Drosophila melanogaster: one gene and its partner. The protein of the gene in region 1 purifies or fractionates together with the protein of each later gene. This does not show direct contact. Each region holds a gene or a part of one and is shown in the gene's direction. Other genes may lie near its edges. The genes, in order: ApepP and CG3107.

Region 1 (4,986 bases):
GAACGCCAACTCCACTCACTGAAGATCCAGATCCAATGTAAGAATGCGAGCGACCGTAGGTCTTCAGGGACCTTCTCAGCGATGGTCTTTTCCACTTCTGAATCATATCTCTACGGAAGTACTTGTAGCAAATGGCTTGTAGCTCTTGGAGTCGTCTTTCCTCGTGGGCCACGGTATTATGTGATGCTCCGAGAGTACGCAGATCATTGATAATCTTCAGCTGTTCGGCCATCTCCTTCTCCATCATGAAGGAACGCTTCTTGGAATCGATTGTGGGATCAAATACAAAAGCTGGCAAATTGTCGAAGTCTCCTCTGCGCCGCACAAACGTATCTCTGCAGCTCTGATCTCCTTCATCGCTGTCCGGTGATTCCATTTGGGTCTCATCCTCTTCGAATCCCGTGAGCATGGTAAGAGTGTGGCCAAGAGAACTCAGCTGCTTGCCAATATTCACATCCAGGTGAATATCCACGCCCTCCATTTGCCACTTGACATTCAACAGCCACTTGGCGTTCTCACCCTTCTTAGCTGCTGTAGTGCGGGAACACACCTCGAAGGTTCCCTCGGAGACAACGCAAACGTTCATAATGGGCTCAGCGCTGTTGGGCTTCCAGTCATCTAGATTTGTTTCAAAATCATCGGCAAATCGCAGGCACAGACCCTGGAACTTTCCCTTAGACACTAAAGCTCCCGAGTTGCAAGCTGAGATAATCGTGTTCTCCAGCGTGATTACAACCGCGCCCTTGGCATCAAAGTCTTGGTATGAACGGGAGCCAAAGGTCTGCAAAAGAAAATTTATGTGGTTCAAATAATCTTTATATTACAGATTTAATTGGATACATACCGTAGTGTTGACCTGTTTCAGGGGCAAGCAAATGCCCATGTCCTCCACGGTGAGTTGCAGGAAGAGCGTAGACAAATTTGAGCCTGCAATCTGGCCAAAAGCCACGCGATCGAACACTTGTGGATTCTGCATATTTTGGTTCTGATGCTGTCCCGAATACTGACTAAGGAGACTGTGCTGAGCGTGCTCGTGGCAGAGATTCGCACGCTTCTCCGCCCAGTACTCGTAAGCATTCTTATAGTTAAGCCACACGAGGATCGCCTTGTCCACGGCAATTGGCTGAACGTAGACCAGTGGTCTCTTCAGGGTCAGCAGAATCAACTCCTTGTCTTCGTTGAGCAGTTCGTCTTGGAAAGCATTCCTCAGGTTAATGGTAGTGTGGAAAAAGGCGTACTGCTGGAACTCCGGCTCGGCCTCGTCGAAAATCACATTGCGTATAATCTGACCCAGGGACAAGTTGAAATCTATGTGAGCCTTAAAGAAGAGCTTACGATTGCTCATATCGCCTAGGTTCTTCACACGGTTAGACAGCTGCAGCTCCAGGATTCCGGTCTCGAATCGAACAGCCGAGGAGCAGGGTGTAGTAGCCGTCAATTGGATGCGTTTCATGGAAATGTTGATTGAGAAGAGGATGCGCTTAAGCGAGGACTCCTGTACTGCTCCGGAACTATCGCCACTCTCTTCCGTCCACAGGGGCACAGGTTTCTCTCCTCCGTAAACTTTCTGCAGAACCTCGTTGATTTCGCGCATAAACACCTTCTGCACAAAGACCAGATGGTTTAGGAGATCTGTGGTCAGGCAGCGCTCGAACTCGCCGATCTCGGCGCTGGCGTTCACGTAGCCACCTTGGCGCAGGACAATGCCCTCGACATTTTCCGTGTGATCCTGGCGGTGGTCTGGAATGTATTCCGCCAGAACGTGAACAGGTGGCAGGCCAATACAAGCTTCCGATGGAAGGTTCATCTCATTCTAAAAGGAATTACAAAGAAAAAACACATTTAATTACATCTACAACATTTTTTAAGATCTTAGTTGAATTCTTTTCAAATACTGTTGCTGAGCTTCTTTATAAGAGTTATACTCCTTTTAATTATACATTAAAAACATTAATATGGGATAAGTTTCTTAATGAAATATTTAAATTGTTCCCGCTACACTTTTAGTGTTACCCTTTTAGGCAAAAGCTAAAAAATACTGAAAGCTTGGAGGCGATATGAAATAATATAGTTCAGCATTTTTGACGTGCTATTAATTGCAAAATTGAATGTGTCAGTGCAAAAAGATTATAAAATATTTGCACCCTGTAGTTTAAACAATAGTTTGACAGCCTTTGTAAGTGTGACACTTATATTCGCCCGATTATTTATGTATTTATGGGATACAAGAAACTCGATTACGGTTGATTATCTTATCGCCCCAACTGGACTACAAATTCTGTGTTTTTTTTTTCGCTCAGTTATTTTGCTGCCATTGAGGAACCACAATGAAGAGGAGCACCACCCAAATTCTGACCAGGTTGAGGGAGCTAATGCTCCGCGCCCAGGTGGGCGACTCCTGCGGCATATCGGCATACATTGTGCCCTCGGACGACGCCCATCAGTCGGAGTACCAGTGCCAGCATGACGAGCGACGCTCCTTTGTGAGTGGTTTCGATGGATCCGCTGGCACGGCGGTGATAACGACGGAGACCGCACTGCTGTGGACCGACGGTCGTTACTATCAGCAGGCGGAGAAGCAGCTGGACTCCAATTGGGTTCTAATGCGGGATGGTCTGAGCGCCACCCCGTCGATTGGCGCCTGGCTGGCGAAGAATCTGCCCAAGGGCAGCTTTGTGGGCGTGGATCCTCGCCTGTTGTCGTTCCGCGTATGGAAACCCATCGAAACGGAACTAAGCTCCGCGGAATGCCAGCTGGTGCCCATCGAAGGCAACCTCATCGACGAGGTCTGGGGTGAGGATCAGCCACCGCAAACCTCAAACAAGATTATAACCCTGAAACTAGAACATTCTGGCGTAACTATCGCCAAAAAATGGGACGTGGTGCGCCAGCAGTTGAAGGAGAAGAATGCTGATGCCCTGGTGGTCAGTGCTCTCGATGAAATCGCTTGGTTCTTGAACCTACGCGGCTCGGACATTGACTTCAACCCCGTCTTCTTCTCCTACTTGATTGTGACCAACGATGAACTACTGCTCTTTGTGGACTCTGGCAAATTGCCCACTGATTTTGTGCAGCATCAAAAGGAGAACAATGTGCAGATAAGCGTTTTGCCTTACGCCTCAATTGGCATTGAAATCAGTAAGATTGTGTCGACCAGGGAGTCAAAGATCTGGATAGCACCCACCAGCAGCTACTATCTAACTGCTTTGATACCCAAGTCACGTAGAATTCAGGAGGTAACGCCGATTTGTGTGCTGAAGGCCATTAAGAACGATGTCGAGATCGCAGGCTTCATCAACAGCCACATTCGCGATGGAGTCGCTTTGTGTCAGTATTTCGCCTGGCTTGAGGATCAAGTGAATAAGGGTGCGGAAGTCGATGAAATGTCTGGTGCCGATAAACTCGAGTCCTTCCGGTCGACAAAGGATAAGTACATGGGCCTTAGCTTCACCACAATTAGTGCTTCGGGACCCAACGGCTCTGTTATTCACTATCACCCAAAGAAGGAAACCAACAGGAAGATAAATGACAAAGAGATTTATCTGTGTGATTCCGGAGCTCAATACTTGGATGGTACTACGGATGTGACGAGGACCCTTCACTTCGGTGAACCCACTGAGTTTCAGAAGGAAGCCTACACTCGCGTTTTAAAGGGCCAACTGAGCTTCGGCTCCACCGTATTCCCAGCTAAGGTTAAGGGACAGGTTCTTGACACTCTAGCGAGGAAGGCCCTGTGGGACGTCGGTTTGGACTACGGACACGGAACCGGCCATGGAGTAGGTCACTTCCTAAATGTCCACGAAGGTCCCATGGGCGTAGGAATTCGACTGATGCCCGACGATCCTGGTCTCCAGGCGAACATGTTTATTTCCAATGAGCCTGGTTTCTACCAGGACGGAGAGTTTGGCATCCGTGTCGAGGATATTGTTCAAATTGTGCCAGGCCAGGTGGCACACAATTTCTCCAACCGAGGCGCCCTCACATTCAAAACCATCACCATGTGCCCGAAGCAAACGAAAATGATTAAAAAGGAACTTCTATCGGATGCGGAAGTAAAGCTGCTCAACAGCTATCATCAACAAGTCTGGGACACTCTTTCCCCAATCCTATCTCGCGAAGGAGACGAATTTACTCTGTCCTGGCTCAAAAAGGAAGTTCAGCCCATTTAATTGCATTTTTAACCCGTTATTTCGGTCATCTTTAACTAATATTCTTTCCCATGCATACACTTACTCTTTTCTCAAGACTAAAATATTAAAAAAAAAATGCTTTTATATACCTTTTAAAAGGGCTTATCTTAAATTTGTACGCTGAACAAATATTATGTAAAAAAAAAAAGTTTATAAATGTGTAAAGCTCACCTGAATTTTGGTATTAAAGCTGAGCGTGTGCGTGGGTAGGTCGATAACAAACTTTGCCCTCTGCCCAGTTACTCCCATGGAACTAACATGATTCATGCGATACTGGGCCTGCAGCGAAGGAAGTAGCGCAGCATTGATGGACAGACTCTGCAAGAGCACATTGAACTGCATGACCAGGGGCTGAAGCAATCCATTCTGGTGCTGTGCTGTGCCTGTCTTGGATTGCGCCATGTGTGCTGCCCGGCGAGCCGCCTGTTGCGGCTGCTGCTGGGCACCAGCTCCGCCGGAAACAGTGCGCTCCCGCATTTCGCTGGCCACTCCAGTTCCACTGCTGGCTCCAACTGAGTTGCGGGCATGGAACGGAGACTCAGGCTCCTCGGCGGTATGCGAACGCATCGTGGACCGACCAGAGTTACGCTTTACACGCAGCTCCTGTAGAGTGGACGACAACTGCTTAGAGCTTCGAGTCATCATTCCATGTAGGGCCACCGGATGTTGCGGAATGTCTATGTTAACAGCACCAATCGACAGCAGGCCACTGTTCTTATCCTTTCCACGCTTGGAAAGGCTTGAATAGAGAGTCTGGCTCTTACCCACGGTTACCTTTACTACGGTTCTGAAATGA
Region 2 (7,071 bases), on another chromosome or scaffold:
ACTAATAAAATTATGAAAAAATATCCAACAATTTTTCAAAGGCGGGGGTGGTAGTTTTGTTTTTTGCAGATCGATAGAAATTGACAAAACTAATAAATTGTGAAAAAATATCAACACATGCGTCTATGCCTCTGGAACCTTTATGCTGAGTCTCAACCTTCTAGCTTTTAAAGTTCCTGAGATCTCGACGTTCACATGGACAGTAGGACAGACGGACATGGCCAGATCGACCCGGCTATTGATTCTGATCAAGAAAATATATACTTCGTAACGCATCCTTTTCCAGTTACATACTTTTCATCCAACGGGCGTACCCTTTATTGGCTGCGGAGAATCTGGAACATCGACAATAATGACAATTTAAGCTCTCACCAGTTGGCAAAGAATCCTGTACATGACGGTCTTTATCTTCATCTGTATCTTAATGTCGCTACTAAATCGTATACTTTCAAATTGCTATTCGCAATTCTTTATTCAATGATTTATGATCGTTCAAAAATAAAACATAATTCTGGGAGTTTTAAAATTGTTAAAAAATTCCAATTCACGTTTGATATGCTGTGCTGGATTAGGACATATTGCGTCCTCTCAAGATGTCACATCGGTATTTCTAATTTTTTGACATGTGCGTCAAAATATCGTCGTTGGTGGAATAGTAACATGAGAACGTTTTTTTTATTTAATTAACTTTTCGCTATTTATAAGTGAATTTCAAAAAATTTTAAAATTTCAAAAGCGCACATACATATGTAAAGAAAAGAAAGATCTAACTATCTATTTACGAGGGCTCAGAAAAGCATTTAGAATAAGCATCTAAATGATCCGTGTTGGCTTTCTGAGCTGAAGGCAATACCTTAACTTGTTGTTTGTAAACATGCGAACTTTGAAGACACATTTAAACTTAATTGCATATCAGCTGTGCTGCACTATCTCCGGTTACGTTCTCTCTCTCTCTCTCTCTCTTCCTAGTGCTCTCGCACCTTACCGTTCTGCTGTTTGCTCTGTAATTAAGTCGCTCATTAACATTCGCTTTCGTAACCTATGTATGCGCGATTCGATGCCAAGCTTAACCTAAAGAAATGAATTATAACCGTTCGAAATCTCTACTATAAAACGTGTATTCATTTCTTGAAAATATCTAAAAATTAATAGTAATAATAGCCACAATTTGACAAAACATTAAAACATTAAAAATCTACAACTTTTAGTATCATTTCTGAGAGACACTGCACTGGAAACCATTCGCAATATCGGATGACATTTACGCTAAAGAATTGGCAATATTACAAAACATTACAAACATTGGCAAACATTACCAATATTCTGTGGCTAAGGGCAATACAGAGTGGACTAGACTTCAAAAATTCAGTTCCAGTGTGTGAATCGATGGCATCGTTTCTGAAGCAGCGATGCAGGACGCTGGAGAATATGGAGTTCGCATAGGCAAGCTATGCGCCATGCATTCACAAGATGTAACAGATATGTAGTTAGATTTTACATAGATTGTATATAGATAGATCTTTCTTTTCTTAACATTTTTTGAATTTACCTAAATATAACGATAAAATATACATATGTAAGTTAAGACTATCACCCAGTATACAATCTGCCGAGAGAAATGCAAGAGCCTAAAGCTTTCAAGATAAGAGTGATGCCTTGACTTAAGATGTAGGGATAGCTTAAGAGATAATGATTGTGTGAGTTAGTTGATTTGCCTTGACTTAAGATGTTGGGATTGCTTAAGAGATAATGATTGTGTGAGTTAGTTAATTTCTGGATATTAATAATATTGAATACTCATTTAGCGCAGACCGCGCTTTTAAATGAAATTGTTAGCATTATATTTTTCATTCAAAGCATTTCATAATTTGTATGAAAACGTCCTAGTGTACCATTTTCCACCGTTCCCCCATCGCAGCTAAGTCATCGACGATAGCTTGACTCAATTATAAGTCGAATAAAATGTAATAATTTAGATTTTAATTGTCTTTTTTTTCTATACGCCGGTGAGTAAAATTATTTAGGTCCATTTCTGTTTGAATCAAAAATTAATGCCAATAAGGCATTGTTATGCCCGAAACACTACGTATACGTGCATATTTATCATGTATGTATATTATTAAGCAGTAATATACACGCTTACATACGTACATACATGCAATTGCATGAGAAACACTAAATTGTGGCATTCAGGGTCAAGATGATTGTCACAGTTCAGTTATTTTTAAAGTTTTTGCCGATTAGATCTATGGAATGATTTTTCATCAAGGCCGTTTTTAAGCTTTATCCAAATTCAGCCCAAGTTTATTGACCCATGTCGCCAATAACATTCTAACGCTCACAAACCAAACGAAACTGCCACTTCCACACTTTTGAAAATTGTTTTGATATTCTCTCGTTATTTCATTAGTGTTGTAAATTTCTATAGTGCTAAAAAACTTTGCTGTTGCCGAACAAGTCGATGGTTTGATTGGCAATGTTGCAAGTTGCGCAGTCTTGTTGAAACCAAATGTTTTCTAGACTATTCTCACGCACTTTTAAAAACAAAAATTCGTCGAGCATAGCTCGTTAGCATTTCCCATTGACGGCTCTATGATACCACCACCCCATAAACCGCACCAAATTGTGCATTTCTCTAGGTGCATCGATTGCTCATGGTATGCTTGTGGATTGGTGTCGGCCTATATGCGGCCGGTAAAATTGCTGATTGTGTTGAAGAATTCTCAGCGAAAACGATGGCCGGTTGGCTTCAGATCCTAAACCATCTGAATTTTGTGCGCTTTGAGACCCAAATCTTAGCGAAGATCCTTCACAATTTTGTTGGGCAAAGGTGTAACTCCTGCGCGCGGTGACGAATAGATGAGTTCCGTTCTTCTGTTACACTGGCCTCAACGGCCCCCATATGTATTTTCTACAGTGCGCACCCTGCGAAGTCTAGTCTGAATTGAAGGCCGATAATGAGCACCATTAAACTAGCGAAGCAAACGGTGTACAAATGACCACTGATTTTCGAAATAAAATTCAACGATTTGGTATCGCTGCTCAGCTATTATAGCTATTCATCAGCTAACATCAAAGGTAGCCCAACTGAACCCCATTGAAAAAAAAACCCCTTATAAAAAGGGTCGGATGTGGCTTTCTTCGGCAGTTACTAATAATTAAATTGTAAATACAAACACATGTATGATTCTTTGATATACAAATTTATACTTCTTTATATATTCTTTTGTATTTAGCGATTCAGCACGGATGGTGCTGAGTTCATGTTAAAAGGTGGAATGTTATCGCGGTGGAAGATGTGGTCTCCACAATACAAAATCTTGAGAAATCACCTTATAAATTTCAAGTCGGTGTCCACATATAAGAACATTTCTGGCGTCAATACCAAGCAGCCCAAATCTCCACGACAATTTGGTTGCATGCCACATGTAACTAAGAAAAGAAAATACAAGTATGAAGAGGGAAAGACATACCATGGCTTCCAATGCGAACGTGTGGAACACATTTCTGAATTTGAACTTACGTCCTATACTTTTCGATATGAGCGCACGGGTACAGAATTATGGCATATCGACCGAAATGATTCAAACAACGTATTTTCCATTAATTTTCGAACCACGCCCTTTGATTCTACTGGTCTACCTCATATTTTAGAGCATTTATCGTTGTGCGGTTCACAAAAATATCCTGTCAGGGACCCTTTCTTCAAAATGCTTAACCGCTCGGTAGCGACATTTATGAATGCAATGACTGGTCCAGATTATACTATTTATCCTTTTTCGACGATGAATGAGATAGATTTTAGGAATTTGCAACATATTTATTTAGATGCCGTATTCAGGTAAGATGTAAATAATTGACGATATCTCGTAATAATATCTTCCTTTCTAGACCAAACCTGGCGTATTTCGATTTTCTTCAAGAGGGCTGGAGGCTAGAAAACAAAGATATATTCGATAAACAATCGAAGCTTGTAATCAAAGGAGTTGTTTATAACGAAATGAAAGGTGCGTTTTCTGAAAACGCGCAGGTATTTAGTCAGAATTTACTCAATAATATTTTTCCTGATCACACATATCGACATGTGTCTGGCGGAAATCCATTGGAAATACCCAAGTTAGCATACAACGATTTAGTTGAATTCCACAAAAAATACTATCATCCAAGTAATGCTCGCATATATTCCTACGGATTATTTGATGCAAGTAAAACCCTCGCACTTCTCGACGAGGAGTATTTATCAGATCAAAGCTGGGTTGACAACTCTTACAGTTTAATACGTCAGCAAGAGCGTTGGACTCAGCCTCGTCTTGTACATATATCCAGTAGACTAGATAACATGGGTACAACAATTGATCGACAGAACCAAATTGCTATTGCACTGCTGATGTGTGATGCAACCAATATACAAGAAAGTTTTGAATTACACGTGCTATCTGAGGTACTTATTCGTGGGCCTAACTCCCCTTTTTACAAAAACCTTATAGAACCAAATTTTTCCGGTGGATACAATCAAACCACTGGATATTCATCGGATACTAAGGACACAACCTTCGTCGTTGGATTACAAGACCTTCGAGTTGAAGACTTCAAAAAATGCATTGAAATTTTTGACAAAACCATTATTAATTCTATGAATGACGGGTTTGATTCCCAGCATGTTGAAAGTGTTCTGCACAATCTTGAGTTGTCTTTAAAGCACCAGAATCCGAACTTCGGAAATACTTTGCTTTTTAATTCCACAGCATTATGGAATCATGATGGCGATGTAGTCAGTAATCTCCGCGTATCAGATATGATATCAGGGCTTCGGGAAAGCATAAGCCAGAATAAAAAATATTTCCAAGAGAAAATAGAGAAATATTTCGCCAATAACAATCATAGACTAACATTAACTATGTCACCTGATGAGGCATATGAGGATAAATTCAAACAGGCCGAGTTGGAGTTGGTAGAACAAAAAGTAAAACTTTTGGATGAAGTTAAGATTGAAAAAATATATGAGAGAGGATTAATATTGGATTCATATCAGAAGGCTGAGTCAAATACTGATCTTTTACCTTGTCTGACAATGAATGATGTAAGAGATCCACCAAAATGGCCTAAGCTATTCATACAAAATGTTCAAAATGTTCGGACCCAGATTTGCAAGGTTCCGACCAATGAAATTACTTATTTTAAGTGCATGTTTAATATAACAGGACTAAGTCATGAAGAAACTCAGCTTATGCCGCTTTTTTGCAATGTTATTAGTGCAATGGGCACCACAAACTATAATTATCGGGAGTTCGATAAGCACATCCTTTTAAAAACCGGTGGATTTGATTTTAAGTTACACTTAATTGAAGATGTTAGGGATTCAAAAAGTTACAGTCTAAGCGTAATGATAAACACACATGCACTTAATAACAATGTTCCAGAGATGTTTGCCTTGTGCCAAGAGTTGATTAAAAATGTTAGGTTTGATGACTCGGAGCGACTTAAAATGCTTATAGAAAATTATATATCATATATATCTGTGGGAGTGGCTAGTTCTGGTCATTTATATGCTATGTTGGGAGCAACATCACAAGTGTGTGATGCTGGTAAACTCAAATCGCTACTATATGGGGTAGATCATATAGACTTTATGAAAAATTTTGTACATTCTACAAGCACGGTAGATATATGTGATAAATTGTCGACAATTGCATCAAAAGTTTTTAACAAGGATAATATGCGTGGCGCCATTAACACAACACAATCTTATGAGCCATCGGCTATAAGTAATTACGAAAAATTTTTGGAGAGCCTGCCAACATTTGGGAAAACACAAACAAGTCGAAATATCCATTATTTGGACCCTAGCTGTCAACAATACGTGATGAACATACCAGTTAATTACTGTGCTAAAGCTTTGTTCACAGTCCCATATCTCCACCAAGACCATCCAACACTGCGAGTTTTGGCAAAATTGCTATCAGCCAAATATCTATTGCCTGTTATTCGCGAGAAGAATGGCGCTTACGGAGCTGGTGCGAAAATCAGCTCAGACGGGATTTTCAGTTTTTATAGTTATCGAGATCCAAATTCAACTAAAACGCTTAACGCTTTTGATGAAACTTATAAATGGTTACGTGCAAATCAAAATGTAATTGACCAACAGTCTCTTTTTGAGTCGAAGCTTGGTGTGTTGCAGCAATTAGACACTCCAATAGCACCTGGAAATATTGGCATCGATTATTTCCTTTATGAAGTGTCACAAGAGGATTTTGAGAGCTATCGCTCCCGAATGCTCTCTGTAACTATTGATGATCTGCAATGCGCTATAGAAAATTATTTTGGAAAAGAGTCCATGCATTATGGAAAATGCATTTTGGGTCCAGTCAATGCAAATTTGGAGCTTGAAACTAGTCACAAATGGATAATAAATAATTAACTAGTTGTAAATGTAATAAATTTATAAAATTCAATTTATTTTATTGGTTTATTTCTTTCATATATGTCCAAAGGACTTATGGGATTAATCAGGAAATTTAATATAAAAGAGATCCCTTGTTTTTTAATCATATACCTTTGAAAAAACGTTGATTTATATGCGCTAAGTGTCACATGTATCGTTTCATATATAGACTCTCGGGGTTTCCTAATACTTCCCATGACTAGTAAACGGTAACCTTTTCACCATTTCAGTCAGTCAAATTCTCAATTACACTCTCATCGCTGTCACCGAAGTCCAAATGTAGGAAGTTGGAACCAATAAATATTATTTAAGCTAAGGGTAATAATACTACCTTGGAATATTTCCCTGCATTCTTTGAAATTGGATTTTATCAAAGTAACATCTTCGATTTATTTAGATACTCAGTCAGACTTAATTAATTTGATTAAATACACAGTTGGATTCAAAAGTTAGCTACGCTCCATTACCGAAATTCGACTGCCAGGCCAGTGTTTTGCCGGCCGCTTAGCCAAATCCCACGGTGTCATCGCATTCCGCTGCAGTCACACGCGCAGCGTCGTCAGCGGTACGCTACAGAGCTCTAGGGTCGTTGACCTGTCGTCCGGTGCTGACGTTGCGATGGAGGTGGG

What was found.
Region 2: the proteins of ApepP (region 1) and CG3107 purify together in Drosophila melanogaster (affinity purification with mass spectrometry, with the first as the bait; one large-scale study listed by BioGRID). This does not show direct contact.

Annotation. Positions count from the first base shown.
Region 1 is NT_033779.5:16,907,499-16,912,484, reverse strand, and holds ApepP (aminopeptidase P), read left to right. Parts: upstream 1-2,066; 5' UTR 2,067-2,176; exon of another isoform or gene 2,177-2,300; 5' UTR 2,301-2,327; coding exon 2,328-4,169; 3' UTR 4,170-4,256; downstream 4,257-4,986. Other genes in the region: tweek, read right to left, coding at 1-781, 845-1,813, 4,362-4,977. UniProt on the Drosophila melanogaster protein: Catalyzes the removal of a penultimate prolyl residue from the N-termini of peptides, such as Arg-Pro-Pro.
Region 2 is NT_033778.4:5,088,636-5,095,706, forward strand, and holds CG3107 (uncharacterized protein), read left to right. Parts: upstream 1-1,945; 5' UTR 1,946-2,107; intron 2,108-2,368; exon of another isoform or gene 2,369-3,165; intron 3,166-3,236; 5' UTR 3,237-3,263; coding exon 3,264-3,841; intron 3,842-3,891; coding exon 3,892-6,418; 3' UTR 6,419-6,455; downstream 6,456-7,071. UniProt on the Drosophila melanogaster protein: ATP-independent protease that degrades mitochondrial transit peptides after their cleavage. Also degrades other unstructured peptides.